Linked DNA regions of Schizosaccharomyces pombe. Changing the gene in region 3 together with the main gene of any one other region gives a genetic interaction. Each region holds a gene or a part of one and is shown on either strand. Other genes may lie near its edges.

What was found.
Region 1: of pab1 (region 3) and igo1, changing one suppresses a phenotype caused by changing the other (phenotypic suppression), as found in Schizosaccharomyces pombe (one study listed by BioGRID).
Region 2: of pab1 (region 3) and ppk18, changing one suppresses a phenotype caused by changing the other (phenotypic suppression), as found in Schizosaccharomyces pombe (one study listed by BioGRID).

What each region holds. Positions count from the first base shown.
Region 1 is NC_003424.3:1,237,231-1,241,029, forward strand, and holds igo1 (serine/threonine protein phosphatase inhibitor Igo1), read left to right. Parts: upstream 1-1,665; coding exon 1,666-1,749; intron 1,750-1,794; coding exon 1,795-1,878; exon of another isoform or gene 1,879-1,942; coding exon 1,943-2,194; 3' UTR 2,195-2,955; downstream 2,956-3,799. Other genes in the region: SPOM_SPAC10F6.17C (bifunctional phosphoprotein phospatase/[pyruvate dehydrogenase (acetyl-transferring)]-phosphatase), read right to left, coding at 3,091-3,799. UniProt on the Schizosaccharomyces pombe protein: Plays an essential role in initiation of the G0 program by preventing the degradation of specific nutrient-regulated mRNAs via the 5'-3' mRNA decay pathway.
Region 2 is NC_003424.3:3,975,343-3,982,525, forward strand, and holds ppk18 (serine/threonine protein kinase Ppk18), read right to left. Parts: upstream 5,514-7,183; 5' UTR 5,348-5,513; coding exon 5,217-5,347; exon of another isoform or gene 5,172-5,216; intron 4,854-5,171; coding exon 1,028-4,853; 3' UTR 910-1,027; downstream 1-909. Other genes in the region: tRNA (guanine) methyltransferase Trm5, read left to right, coding at 1-87, 143-490, 540-620, 672-737.
Region 3 is NC_003424.3:506,610-511,720, forward strand, and holds pab1 (serine/threonine protein phosphatase PP2A regulatory subunit B-55 Pab1), read right to left. Parts: upstream 3,285-5,111; 5' UTR 3,083-3,284; coding exon 3,039-3,082; intron 2,995-3,038; coding exon 2,954-2,994; intron 2,877-2,953; coding exon 1,594-2,876; intron 1,572-1,593; exon of another isoform or gene 1,551-1,571; coding exon 1,527-1,550; 3' UTR 913-1,526; downstream 1-912. Other genes in the region: yip5 (Rab GTPase-binding protein), read left to right, coding at 1-683; cleavage and polyadenylation specificity factor complex subunit Yth1, read right to left, coding at 4,060-4,111, 4,171-4,461, 4,558-4,727. UniProt on the Schizosaccharomyces pombe protein: Phosphatase 2A affects a variety of biological processes in the cell such as transcription, cell cycle progression and cellular morphogenesis, and provides an initial identification of critical substrates for this phosphatase.

The DNA.
Region 1 (3,799 bases), 730 kb from region 3:
CTCACATCCTGACCTTATGTATTTGGTTGGGGAATGACATGACTGAATTATAAATGATATACAAAAGTTTAAATTAAAATCACGTAAAAGCGAAGAAAACAAAAACAGAAACCAAAAAATTCTTGACCTTACTCGGTATTCTTTACAGTTTCCGTTCCTTTTGTAAGTATAAGAATAAAAACAATGCCTATTTTCGCTTTGCGGTTGCCTGCTGAGCAGAAAACTAAGCGAACCTTAATATTCTTTAAACTTTCCACCATATTTACTTTTATACATTAGAACTGTGTTGTTCAATTTCCTTAATTTTTTCGACTGCAAATTACAGTAAAGTAACAATACGTACTAGAGGATATACAAAATATCTGTTTTAAATGACAGATATTTACTATGTCTTTAATGAAAGATATAATACCTACTTGTAGGTAGTATTCTCTATCAGTAAGCCCATGCGCAAATATCGTACACTCAAAGGACTGATGATGAATGCTGGACAGGTCGGTACAATAACTTTTTGTAGCCAAGTCCATCGCCAAACGTTTCTCCTTCAACTAACTAACTAACTATAAGAACAATCATGCACGTATAACCAAATTATTGTTCCCGTATGCACATACGTTATTGTACATTTGAGTATGCAAACATGAAGGCGACACATCCGCTAACATGCCAAATGTATATCATTCATTGACTGCCACTCGCTTAGCTAAAAGTGCGAACGCATATGTAATTCTATGAGAAATTTAGTCATTTCCACATGTAACAGTAATTTTGCGAATACTAAGGCTAACATGACAATCGTAAGCCAAGAAGACTTCCTAATTTCACTTCAGACGGATGAGCAATTCACAACTAAAAGTTGCCTCAAATCACTACTACCTGTATCACGATTAGAATGAAAATGTCGGATTTTTGAGATGTTATCGCCATGATGCAATCTTTTCGCAACTAAGTACTTTTTCTATTAGCAAGATAAACCGACTCCTTGAAGCAACTTCATTCTCTAGTCCTTATTCTGATCTCCAAGTTAGGTAAATGGAAATTCAACTATTTGTGCAGAAACCCCATCTCCCATTATTACCCTTGCTGCTCTTCTTTCTATCTGTACACTTTGGGAAGGGACTGTTGAGTCGGACATTCAACACTTTTTACAGCCACCAAAAATAGGTTGCCTAGACTAACAATAGGAAGGAACTTGTCGTCATGTTAAAAATCGGCCTTGCTCATAATAATTATTTTATTATTTTATTTTTTTTTTATTAGTTTTGGACGCAGCGATAAAATGCCCGATAAGGTTAGAAAGAATAGGTTATTGGCAAGAAAGTAGGGTTAACAAGTGAGTCGGTAGAAAGCATGTTAATCAAGCGAGTATGCAAAGTCTTCGTCAAGGATTCCACTCACAATAGCAAAGGCAGCAAGTTGTTTGTAAATAGTAAACAAATGACATTTGGCATAAAACCGACCTTATCCACTTTACTTTTTCATCATTCATGAGAAATGCCACTTAATCAATGAATGATCATTTAGTGTAGATTAGCTCATTCAGCCGCTATTTCGTTGGAATCCAGTAATTTTAGAGTGTTTACGTATCGACAAAATTACGTATGATACCTAATACGTTAACAGTGCGGTATCTTAGGCTTCGGTAGACAAGTGGCCGTGTGGTATATGGTAAGAACGCGCAAATGGATGTTGTCAACAACCATAATCGCCATGTCTTCTAGCAATTCAGAGCAGAAAGTAGACGTTGCAGTAAGTTAAGATTGTACAGCTGAAATTGATTATTAACTGAAATAGAAATTAAGTCCAGAAGAACAGAAGCTTTTCCGTTTGTATGGACGACTTCCTCAGCGAAAGGATCTATTAGTTCAAAAATTACAGGTATGGAGGAATGGATGTGTTTTGGATAAATTGTCATATTTATTCTAACTCTACCCCTTTTTAGCAAGGTAGAAAATACTTTGATTCAGGCGACTATGCCTTAAACAAAGCTGGAAAGGCCTCCGATTCAGGTATCACTTGTATTGGTAAGGAGATTCCCTCTCCTGACACAATTCCTCACCGTGTTGTCAGTGCTGGGTCTCCTAATAAAGAGCCGTCTCTTCACACGAAACGACCCTCAGAGTCCTCGCCTAGTGGTGCCAGTAGCAGAAGGGAATCTGTCACGCGACACGACTTGGAAAGCAATGAAAATTGAGGTCATACACGTTGCTATTTTTGCGACAAGGTTGGAGGTTTAATTTGGCTTGGCTCTTAAAATTTGGTATTGCTTGTCGTGTGCGGAAATGCTGTGTGCAAAATTGTGGTCTGGCAAAATGGAACGAACGCGTTTGTTCAGCTGTCAAGAGTTATGAGAAATATATAACGATAAAAGTCTACGAAATGAAAACGCTTACTACTCTAATACTTCCCTTTTCTCTTCCTTACCCTTTTCTACGTAGTTGATGGAGGACAACACTTCTGTTTTATTCAATGCATCGCGCATTCCTTTTCTTCGTTTCTTACTTTAAATCTTTTTTTCATTTTCCTTTATCAACTGTTGTTCTATCTTGTAATTTCTTATATGGTTCACTTGTTTTTTTGTTGTCAGAACACTTGTCACGATTTTGGCTATATGGCATTGTTTAATTCCAATGTTTGATGATTGTTCTCGTCATCGCTCTTGCGTATTGCACTATTGTCGTCTCGTCTTTTTGTGAGTTTCAAGTGTTTTTACTTACTTTATTTTTCTTTTTACATTTATTTACAATGTAACGTTTTATCATTCTATAGAGCAAAATGAGCATATTCTAAAATTTAATTGTTGCCATTCGTCGCCACGTGGATACGGTGTCTCCAACGGTTTTACTTTCGAAAAAAATTTGCTGTATTTCTTTTGTTTTTCTTTTTTTTTTAGCGTGGCTTATCTTACTGAGCTTGGTCAATGTGATAGGAATAAAAAAATGAAGTGTTAATATATATTTTCTCGTAGTGCCAATTTTTTTGTGTTTGGCAGATTATTCAATTAGTCGTTAAGCATTCCTTCTTTTCTTGCTTTTTTTACTCATGAATAAGAGTAGTTATGCGTGAAATAGCATTCCTTATCGTATGTATCTACAAAGTTTTTTCGTCGAAAAAGATCACCGTAACAGTTATGTCGTCACGATACCTTCTTGAAATTGGATAAGTCAAGGTTAATAAAGCAGATATTCTTTGGTCGCTTCCACCCAAAGAATGTCGAATAAGGTGCGTGGCAGCATTATCATCAATGACCTTTGATGTTTTCTTAAACAGCGACCATGATTGTTTGTCATCCTGAGTTGTGTTCTTTTCGTTGGTAGTTTTACCCAAAACTGTATCTGCCCATTCTCCGACCAATTGTACTGCTTGTTCACTGGACATAGTGTCCCAAAGGCCATCGGAAGCCATAATTAGAAAGCGATGCTTCTTTGGATTCACGGTGATACTTTCAATTTCAGGGACCGCAGTAACATATGGAGGAGTTTTAACAGGGATGGGTGAAGCGGAAAAATATTCTCTGTGTAGTCTCTCGCTAATTTCCTGGGACCATTTGTAACGAGCGTCGCCAAAGGCTCTTGAAGGCATAAGACGTCCAAGAATCCTGTTATTACGAAGGACTTCTTCGCCTGGATGCTCAACTTCCAAGCGAGATGCTTCATCAGGATTCATTCCAGTTTGATCGCGACTAAGTGGGATAGCTTCCCAAGAGCCATCGGGCGTACATTCTCCAAGAACAGCCCGCGAATCACCAGTACAGGCAACCTGAAGACTCTTAGATTTTGCTGAATACGAAGTAAGAAGA
Region 2 (7,183 bases), 3.5 Mb from region 3:
GCTGGAAAAAAAAATGTAATCGTGTTTGCAAACGATTTGAATCCTTACAGCTATGAAAGTTTAGTTGAGAACATTTTTCTAAACAAGGTATAAACTTCAGCTTGGTCAAAAGCTTGTGAGATAATGCTAACTAGCTATTAAGGTTGCGAATTTTGTAAAAGCATTCAATCAAGATGGTAGAGAATTTATTCGTTCCTCTGTTCAGAAACTATTAGGATTCTCTAAAGATGAAAAAGCCATTACAGTCTTTCCTCCGAGAAAGCGAGCACGTAAATTGGAAGAAAATAAAGATCCTGTGAGACAGGATATTCCCATCCCTCCTGTATTTTCACACTATGTAATGAATTTACCCGGATCAGCGATTGAATTTTTAGATGCTTTCAAAGGTTGTTATTATGGATTGGAGTACTTGTTTAAAGACCGCTCTCTTCCAAAAGTTCATGTTCACTGCTTTTGTAGATTTCCCGATCCTGAGGAAGATCTTATAAATGTATGAAATGCTTACTTTAAATGAAAATTTACTAACCAAGTTTTTTTAGCGGATATACGCTTCGTTGGGGTATCGTTTTTCTCCTGAAGAAGTTGACTTTTATTATGTCCGAAAAGTTGCTCCCAACAAGGTAATATCCTTCTTTATATAGCACTTTTAATGTAACTAACTAAACAACTAGGATATGTACTGTTGTACTTTCACGTTACCTGGTTCTATAATATTTGCTAAACCGGTTTCAGGTTAGTCTTTATAGGATTGAAATGTCGTTCAGGAGAAGATGAGCTATTTTGGGCTTATTATTTTTTCATTACTTTAACTGTTACATATCCTGTAGAAAAAACCTCAGTAAAAATAAAAGTTATAAATCCAAAAAAGTCTTGTAAGTTGACAAAAGTAAACTTTTTTCAAAAAAATTAGTGTTATTAATATTATTACTATTATAATTATTATACATTCGAGAAACAAAAAGGAAAAAATTAAAGAGAGTATGGTAACAACAAAAAATGAGCAATCACGATTAACAAACGTTTGAACTCATTTATTGCAAAGCCGGGCTATATAACCACGTAAAAGGAACGCGTTGATAGGCAAGTATAACCGTCCATCAAACATGCGAGGAATAGCAGCATTAATATCGATTCTGGTAGGTGTCAAAGCTATAGCTGGCGTATTTCGATTAGCACAATTACTTGATCGAACAATCTTTAATATAGAAACACCAGAAACACGAGTTAAATCTAATTGCAGAAATATGATCGAAAACTTCTCATCAGCCATTAAAGTTCTTAACATTTTGTCCTCATCGGTAACAATAGATACTTGAAACTTGTATGATTTTAGTAACTTGATCAGCTCTGAAAACAAATTCAGCTTGCTGACACATATCAAAGCCTTTAAGGGGACTGAAGAAGAGAAAAAAGGAGGGGTCTTTGAGAGTGGAGAAGACAAAGGAGATGCTTGACCCTCCTCAATTTTAAACGGATATGAAGTTTCCAAATTCGAAATCGGAAGATCAAGATTAAAAAGATCATCACTTTCAGAAGAACCAGTTGATTGATTCGTATGAGAGCTATGCTTTCGCATATGCAGTTGCTTAATCAAATCGTGCATTGACTTCGGGCCATCAGTTTTAGAACGAGATTCAACATCAGAACTGTTAATGGACTTCCTAGGTGTTGAATCAGTGGAAGAAAAATTAGAGCCCTGGTTTGTCATTAAAGAGGGACTTAAAGTTAGTTGCTGATCATAAAGTTTTGCAGAAGGCATATCGGAACCAGGGGTGTATCCAATGTGTGGATCCGGAGGGGATATATGTAATTTGCCAGCTATTTCTGATCTTATTTTTTCAATAGCATTTCGATTAGCTCTTTCCAAAACGCTTAAATTTTTATAAGAAAAGGGACCAAACTCGTCAAACTCTGAGTTAGCTTCGCTAAATCGGCGGCTTCTACGAGCTGACGTACTTCTCTCACGACTGCGACCATGAGATGAACGAAGGAATTGTGAACCTCTTTCCTGAGAAACATTATTATCCTTAGAAACTTCCTCTCCGCTATTTACAGATGAGCTCATGTTAGATTCTGCAGCCCCAGCTCCACGACTATCAAAATATGCAGTATCAAGTGGGGTTTCTGGTGCAGGTATAAAAGGAGCCTCGTGTGAAAAAATGTCATCCCAATTAATCCCATTAAAAAAAGGATGTTCTTTGATTTCATTAATATCCGAAAACCCAAGTCGTCTCTCCGGATTTGGCTGTAGAAACCCATTAATCAAGTCTAATGCTTCCTCGGAACAAGGATACATTTCTAAATCGGGCCATGCAATGTTATTAGCCAAAATATTTTCAAATACCTTTTCCGGGGTCTCTGCGTGAAAAGGTGGATAACCAAACAGAAACTCAAACAACACACAGCCAAGAGCCCACCAATCAACCATATCATCCTGTGTACTTCCGCGAAGAGTTTCAGGTGCTAAATAGTCAGGAGTACCAACGAATCTTTTAGGAGCATCAGGTTGTCTAAAAAAAGGAACCGATTGTAAATTAGGAGTCCGATTGACTTTCTGAGAGTCAACTGGACTTTCTAAATATTTACTAGAGATGCTATCTATGCTCGTACGAGTAGTAGTAGTGGTATCATCCTCTTTATACGTAGTAAATGTAGCCAACTCTGTTTTTTGCTTTTGCGATTTTTCATCATACGAAAAAGCACTAACACTGGTAGGTAAAATCAAGGGAGAACTGGCAATATTATCACCGGGATCACCCAACGCAGTAGGAGATTGAAAGCTGGGTGGTGACAAAATATTATTTTTACCCTTTTGTAAACGTAATTGCCGTGTAGTTAAACCTAACTGACTTAAGCCGAAATCCGCTAATTTCAGATGTCCAGTAATACTCATAAGGATATTGTCCGGTTTAATGTCACGATGAATTATACCAAGCCTATGTAAATGCTCAAGACCTAATGCAACTTCAGCAATGTAAATTTTTGCCCACGATTCCGGTATAGTGTACAACGATTTTAATAGGGATGCACAATCCCCTCCATTCATGAATTCCATAACAAGATAGAGGTAATCCCTACTTTGAAAGGCATAATACAATTTTGCAACAAATGCAGATTCTTCTTGCGCCATAAGCACAGCCCTTTCAGCTTTCACATTAGCGACCTGATTTTTTGAAATCATGTCAACTTTTCTTAAGACCTTAATGGCGTAAATCTCCCCAGTGGTATTTTTACGGGAAAGGTAAACAGTGCCGAAGGTTCCTTTACTAATAGGCTTTATAATTTCGTAATCTTGAATAGAAGGAGTCCCTTTACCACTGCTAATGTTGGATGACAGTGTCGATATGCCAATCTGGCGACTCAAAAATGGTTTTGGTGACTCTGTTTCACGGAAAGAATTACGCTCAACTGGGACAGTAAGTTTACTAAAGGGAAAACTTTCAGAGGTATAGGAAGAACCAACTCCATATAAAGTATTAACTGCACTCACAGATTTTCTTCTAGAAGCAATGGGGATTGCAAGGTTGTTGCGACGGCTTAGGTTGGGAGATCCACTATTAGTACTACTGTGATTTGTAGAGGAACGGTGGACTGAAAAAGAATTGGATGAATCAACACTAGCAGCAGTAATCGGCGGATCATTCCTATGGTTGAACTGTGAAATATCGTGCACTTCCTCAGGAGAAACAGAAGGCTTAACTGTATTAAATGGTTCGCATTCAATAATAGGAGATTGTGTCATAAGGGTTTCTTGAATTGGTTCAATAAGTGTAGGAGTCGTAGTACTGAGAGGTTCGTCATAACCATCAACTTGAATGGATTGTTCAATAATGGTCTGCACTTGATCTTCAATTTCACAACGAACACGCTCAGAATAATAGATGATGTTGCTGAGACGATTAATGGCATCAAGCTTTTTTTTTACTAAGGCATCCGTGTTTTCAAACATCAATTGCAACCCAGGGTCATCAATATGTGGTAAGCACCATGAAAGAGTTTTTGCATTGAAAACCTCACTAGCTGGTGATAATAAGCGTATTTCACTAAATGGTTGATTGTCTTCCCTGGTAGTGGATTCTGGTATGAAAGGTAAATGGATGGCTAAACAACTATCTGTATAACTTATGGCATCAAACAGCATGTTACTAATGTAATTTCTAATTTTTTGGGACAACGATGACCGGGAATTCGACTTCGCGGAGGAAGTAATAGAGGAAGGAAGGACGGCGGCGAGAGGAACTCCCAAATATGATACATCTGGTTCTATCTGATCGTCCAAAGAATCCAACAAACTTTGTAAAGCATTTCTTTGTTCGTTAAGAAGGTCATTTGCTTCTTGAGCACGTGCTTCAGCATGGTGAATGAGAAGACAAAGTTCAGTATGATGCTCAAAGTACCAATTTTGAATTTCATGATCGCAAACCCTGCAAAGTACTGTTTCAAAGGGAGGAAGACTATCGGTGGAAGGAACGGTTTGAAGCTTTTCAAGATGTTGGGCCAGTAACTGAGCTCCAAAACCTAGAGTTTCTGTGAGTTGCTGGCCTATTTCCTGACGAGTGATTCGCGTGGGCTTCAAAGGTTGCAAAACCCATAATGTATGAGAGGGTCGGCTGGTTAAGGGATCACGAATGAGGACACCAACGCAATCCAATTCGACAGACTTTGATTGCAGCTCCATTTCCTCATCCTGAACAAAGACATTTTCCTCCAAGGAGGGCAGCTTCGAAATCACGGTATGAATTTTAACACTGTGGGAGTCATCGTCAAGAAGCTGTTCAATGGCTGCGTTGAATATCTCCTGGTCGGATGACAGAAGAGCTGCAGGTTTGCCAGTAAGTTCTAACGAACTAATTCTATGCAACTTGGTTAGTAAAAGACCTAGCAATAAATTGAAAAAGAGCAAGATTTCAAAAGTTGAAGGACAGAGGCGACCCAAGGAGTATCAGCCATAGCTTGGCCAATCCAGCTTAAAAGAACTAAAACAGGTCGGCAGCAAATAGAAGATTTAAGTATTATACGTATGACTTACAGATCAAGGCAATTGAAGCCTTATTCAATGGCTATTTTTGCGTAATCTGCAAAGTCATACCAACCGAATCGTTAAAAGAAAGATACAAATTAAATGTACAATATAAATATTCTAGCAAGCAATGGTATCCTTCTGCCAACAACACAGAGAAATTTCGTAACATCGCCCGCTATTCCACTGCACTTACCCGGTAATCTGTGAGAAGTTTGTACTTGCAAACAGCACAGATCCGTCTAAATCTAACTCCAAGACATAAATGTTGTCTATTCCGTGATTTACTTTGTTATCCTCGTTGGAATTGCGTTCTTGCATTACCATTAACTTTATAACTCCATTCAGATTTTGATCCTAATGTGCGACAAGTAAAACCATTCGAATACAATTAGCGTTTCGTTATTTCATAAAACCCAATCTATCGACTAAAAAAACATAGACAATACGGTAACCAATTGATATTCTAATCAAACACCCAATTTATGAACGTGGGTGGCTCTTGATGACTGTGTCAATATTTATATGAGTGAGCAGTGCGTAGAGGCTAATCATTGTTACCCTGGGACGATTGATACCTGTGCTTACTTATCCCTTGATCAGGATTCACTAAGGGGAGAGATCGCGAGCCGATGTCTTAAATAACGATTTCGATGGCAATAATTATATAATTATATATCGTTGATCGCTATACTTCGGTTTATGAATTTTCATTGCAAGATGAAAAAAGGTTGGTGATTGAAAGGAAAGCGAGACAATGTAATGCAAGCTGTAGAAATGCGGATTTTTTTTGGAAATGTCTTCCATGATGTGTTATTCTGCTTTCATTTCTGTAACATGATTTTGCGCGGAAAGGTCTCAAACAAAAGTGCGACTGCGCGCATGCACGTATGCGCTTAATCCGCTTAGTACCAATTATAGATGGAGGATTGATATTTTGGCAGTTAGGATTAAAACCTGTTCTTCTTCAATCCCTCTTTAAAGCAGGGATACCCTCCTTGCAGCCCAACTATTCCTCCGATTCGCACTACTAATTTGTTCACAGGCTAATGTTTACAGATCTGTTGGAATAGGGATGAATGCGCCCATTCATAGTGTTGAAAATAGGATATTCGAGTTGCTTTGTTTAGACACCCCATCATTCAATATGCTCACAGCTGTGTTGGTAAGGAATGCATATGTATTATTGATGCATAAGGAGTTACCAATTTGTTAATAGATAAGTAGGTCATAACTGCTATTCTTTTCCAAAATCATAATTTCTGTCGCTTTTCATTAGTACCTGCTGAATAAAATTGGTAATGGATGGGTCATCAGAGAAACCGTTTTCTGTACCGGATTTTACACTCCCACGCTCTCATGCACAGCGTTCTAATAAATTTCCGTATATCTTAAAAGAATACATTATACTCTATGTTAAGATCATATTTCCAAATTCGATTACTTGACAGTTGACTAAAAGAGTGTATAGCGTGTACACTACCACAAAGAAAAGTTCCATTTTAGAGTTGAACCCCCGAAATTCATTCGAAAAGCAAAACGATTTCCTTTACTATGTTTTTTCTAAATTTTCCATATCGTAACGAAAATTTTGGTAGGGAGAATAACTCACTCATCACAAGTTGATCATTTTATTGCATACATGGTAAAACCCATTTTTAGAGAAAACGCATCGGCTGATACTAATTTGCAATAAAAAATATATTATCATCCCTGGCAACTGTTTATTAGTTTTAGGTTAGCATGGGAAGAACAGTGGTGTGGAAAACGGTTAAATTAGGAATTGCTCGATAATTCAAGCACATGGAAAACTTACACCAACTTCTTCTTTAACAACTTGAAATTAACGTCTCCATCATTGTCGTATTCATAATAGTGCAATATTACTGTATAATCTAACAACTTACACAATACAATATTAGTTATTCTTAGCTACAACTTACTTGAAAACATTAATCACATGACTTTTCTTATAAGCTAAAGATTCATTATATTTCGAAATGAAATTACGAGATGTTAAAGAATCACGAATTCAAAAAAATAGACGACCATAACAGTGTCAGGTTTCTTAGATACTCTGCTTTACTAACATAGCGGGCAGAAATATAAAAGATTCTTGAGATGCAGTTATGCTCGTAAAAAATAAATAACCGATAACCGCTG
Region 3 (5,111 bases):
TTTATAAGCAGAGAACTCCCATTACAAAGCCTCCGGCCCCTAGATTACAATCTCGTCGCGCATCCATGCAAGAGACGCCATGGACCATCAAAGATTCATTTAACGTGGAAACTAAAGATGTGGTTCAACGATGTATACATACTCTTATTCCCACTGTAAATTTCTTTGATGTTGTAGATGATCGTCCCGATTTATACGGTCCTTTTTGGATAACCACTACGGTTATACAGGCTCTATTCTTTTCCAACTCAATTACCGAATACGCTCGTTATGCCACAGGGCATGGTACAAGTGGCTATTCTATAAAAAAGTTGATCTCTGCAGCATCAATTATTTATGGTTACACTACCATTATCGCCGTTTTGTTATGGGGTATCCTAGTGTGGAACAAATGCAACCCTAAGTTACTCGACTGTCTGTGTTTATATGGATATGCTAACATTGTTTGGCTTCCCGTTTCTTTAGCAACTCCTCCGTTTGGATTGCTATCTACTTTGGCCTCCCATATTGTCAAATATGTACTTACAGGGATTGGTTTGTTAATTTCCATTGTGTTTTTAACTAGAAATTTATATCCTATCTGTCAGCAAGCCGGATCAAATTTGTGCAAACTTTTATTGTTCGGAATTATCGTCTTTCACTGTTTGCTCGCTTTGTCTCTTCAACTCATATTCTTCAGTTAATATCCTAATTTGTGAGGAGTTTCTTTTATCAGTCGCATTGCTTCATTCGAAAATTATACTATTCCCCTTCTTTCATTCTTTAGAAAAGTCATTCAGCATTTAAGATCCTATTGAGTCTAAGTGTTGGTATACTCTATATGATTCAGTTTATACATATATTCGCTTTACATTTGATTTTCTACTCTTTTTACTATAGCTACTAATGTTCCCTCAATTTACTAGGTTTTTTTTTCAGGTGCAAAATACGTATAAATAATCATTTCTTATGCATTGATGAATCATGCCTTAGTAAAAATAATTGTAGCCTTTTTAGTGAACCAAAGACTTTATGACATTTAGTCATATTTTTGCAATCGATCTCCCGTCATTTATATAGAAAACTTAACACATTATTACTCGTTGTTCAACAAAAAAGAGCTGAAGGTAAATTAATGGTGAAGCTTAACCTGAAAAGTACTTTTACGATTTCAAATTCAGATTTTTTTCAACAAGAGAAAAAAACTTTGTGAGATATTGAAAAAACGTTGAAATTTACGATGCATCACCACAATTTCAAGATTAAAAAGGAACACGTAAAAAGAGAAAAAGAAAAATACTGTGGATAGCAAAGTACATATGTATCGATTCACGGCATACATGAAGGGAGATAAACAAAGCACCCTTTTATCATTAGTCCTAAAAACTTTATTTCTGTCATTAATGGTTAAAATGGTGTGTGTATATAAGAATACAATCTGAAAGAAGAAGGTAAGAAAACTCTTATTCCCGGAAGTTCAATAAAAAAGGAACTATGTTCAGTCTATCCGTAGATCATAAAAACAAACCAAACTCCACATAAGGACATTAGAGCTTAGAGAAAACAAAAAGCTATTGAAACATTAGTAAACAAAAAGTTGATAAGCAAACGTACATTATTAGTAGCGGCGATGGCAACTGAGTCTTCAAAGGGATGCCAACTGGCATGTAATATCTTCTTATTGTAATCCAGGTTATCAGGATCAAGGCCAACAGAAGCAGATCCCATCGCAGCTTGAGGTTGTGACCGCCAATCATTATTTTTCACAGCATTCAACTTTGGAACGTTATTTGCAGCAGATTTTCTGGCTCTAAATGCAGCCTTGTCGGCTTGCAAAACTATCTGTCCTCTATCGCCAGGCAAAGAACTATCTGTGGGGTAAATCCCAAAGTTGTTGCTATAACTTCCTGATAAAACGTGTTTGTCGTCACCAGAAAAGGTACACTCGAATTTATCAAAAATACAGTCATTTTCATAGAGATCGCATAACTTTGATCGCAAAACATCATGCAATGGAATAGTTTTAACGGGAGCTTTTTCCATGTTGACATCCCATATCTTAAGAGTTAAATAATCTCTTGAAAGAATATAGCGGCCATTTTGTGAGAACTTAACGTCTGAAATGCTAGAGATGATTTCAGAAAAGAAACTCTTGGAATCTTGATCTTCTTGATCCTCGAAAAGCTTACATGGATTATCGCAGAGCGCAGATTGACGCAAATCTAAGAGTTTGATATTTCCCTTGCTGCTACTATACATGAGATGATTGCAGTTTATCGGGTGAAACTCGGCACTAGTAATAACTTCCGTAAGTTCTTCCATATTTTCAGGTTTAATGTCAACTATGTTGAATGAATGATCGGAGATGGACAAGTTCCATAAGTTGATACGTAAATCATCAGCGGAAATGTAAGTTTCTGCATCAGAGTTAACGCTAATCGAATTAATATGATATGCGTGTGCATTAGCGTAAACACGTCGTGGATATGCAGCGATAATCATGTCATGATGGTTGAGTCGTGGGAGTCGAAGTTGCGAAGGTGTTGTCAAAGGTCCTTGCATAGGACTGTGGAAACTGTCCGACAAATTATTTTCGGCAACGACTTTCAAATTCTTTTCATATAGTTTCCACAATTTTATAGTTTTATCATTCGTTGAGAGTAAAAAATGCGCTCGATTAGTCCTCTTGCACCAGCGAATTTTATTGATCTTTTCTTCGATTTCTAAGGACTTGAGATAATCAAACTCGGGTTCATGACTTTGAAATTCAGTAAAAAACTTATACTCACAACCCTTTTTCGAATGATTTCGCTCAAAAAGAACGACTCTGCCACCTTTATCGCCGGTTGCTAGATAATCACCTGTGTGGTCGAATTCTACTGCTGAAATGATATCGGCTAAACTTGTTAGTCATTTATTCAGTGATTAAAGTAAAAGAGAACTCTTTTATGAGAGAACTACTCAAAACCAATACCTTCAGTGATGTCTTCCACATCACCCTTGTCACCAAAGCATCTAAAGAGTTAGTCATTAATTTTTTTCACACATCGTTTACATACTGGGCAAATTTCCACTGATCCAAAGAGTCTTCTATATCATCCATCTTCTACTCGTATTATATTAAGATTTCGTTCCCGTTGGTACACTTTGCCAATTTCAATTGTATACGAAGATCTTGATCTTCAAATTTCTAAGGGTATCTCTATACCGTCTTTGGATCTTTTTTCAAAAGTTTTGATACAAAGTTTCCCAGTTTTCACTGGCTTTTTTGGAGGGCTGCTGATTTTCCTAACTTGATGGTTCGTATCAAATGCTGCTACCCTAACGAATCTACACCACTCTTCGGCGAGTCAAAAGCTCAGTAAAATTTTTATCGGTAAATCAAGCCTTAAGCGACTTTAAGTTATTAATGGATTTTTGATAAATACAACACTATTTCATTACTTCAGTGTTCATCTTACGCTTTACTACACATAGGATTTTTTGCTCAACTTTACAAAGTCCAGTGTAAAACTTGTTGGCAATTTCCCATTAATGAAACCTTAATCATTTGTACGCTAAAGAAAGGTGTTTTTGATTATAAAAAACTAGAAGTTCATTGTCATATAAAAGATCCATATTGTTTTTATAGTTTGCAAAATTGAATACAGCAGATAAGTAAATTACAAAAAAATAAGAAACATAACTGGAAAGTAGCAAATATTTTACGAATAACGTATGAATGATTAAATGAATAAACCGTCCTTGATACATTACGATGGCGCTCTACGTAAGCGTTTTACATACTGGTAAACGATACTTAAGTTCCTAAATTTTCTTTTCCTTCTATGTTGCAAAAAACATATGTAAAAGGGAGACTTATTATTTAAAACTTATTTTTCGGTTTCTAAATACTTCTATTATCCCGATTATGTGTCGATTTGGTTCGCCGCAACCAAGACAAACCCAACGTCGATAATTAATTTTATTCCATAAAAAAAAATCTCAATAATCAATGTACGGCATCACTAATTGCATATACTCCATTGATAACTTGATTTCATTACCTAATATACAGTGACACATTAAAAAACGCATCCTTTACCAGTCTTTCCGCTTTTGAGGAGGATGCGGAGGTTCAGAGTGTTTAGGACTAGAACATGTTAGTAATAGAAAGAGAAAGTCAACACTATAATTCTTCAAAAAACTTACTGAGCATCTGGGCAATTAGGGCCTAGCGGACAAAACCCAGCTAAATATTTTGGGCAAGGCCTTGGTTTTCGTACATGTTTGCCTCGACATATAGGTCCTAAAGGACAAAATCCCATATTATACCAGGCACAGACACCAACTTGTTTACTGGGATCCAAATGGAGATATAAACACTCTTCGCCATTAGAACACCAGCCGCGCTCTGCATAAAAGTGACATGGAGGCATCTTTTTTAAATTGTACTCGTGTAAAAAATCACACTGTTCACCTTTTTTACAAAGTCCACGAAGCCTTATATAATATTAGTTATCATGAAGGTAGAAACAAAAACAAATAGAAAAATACATGAAATATATATTCATATTACTCTTCTTTATATATACATACCAATGCTTGCAAACCACGCTACCCATTTTCGATCCAGAATCGCGTCCATTTCCAGAGTTTAGCAAGGCAGACCTTCCGAAATTAAAATTTTGCTTTAAATAGTTATCAAAACGAAATTGAACTGAAGAAAAATCAGCTGCTATAGCTTTATCTTTGATATAATCAGTCATTTTGTAGTAACCAGTAGATGGCGGAGGCAACGTTGTTCAGTTGACTTGAATATCACAAATACTTTATTGACTGGCATTCACATACTATAAATGATGCTTATTAAACTAGAACGAATTAAATTATTCTTATAATATTCATGAAATCGCTATTGTTTTAAGGTTTTCTTCATAGGTATGTTTGAAACCTAAGTAAAGAATGATATTATGCAGCATACGAATAAAATAACTTTTATAAAACATATTCTTTTTATCTAAAATTTACCTCGTCAGAGACATAACTAATTGCTTCTGTTGAGAATTTTACTAACATACTAATTTGCAACAGAAAACGTATTATCTTCGCTTCCACATGCAAAACATATTCACATGACCAAGTACTTTTAA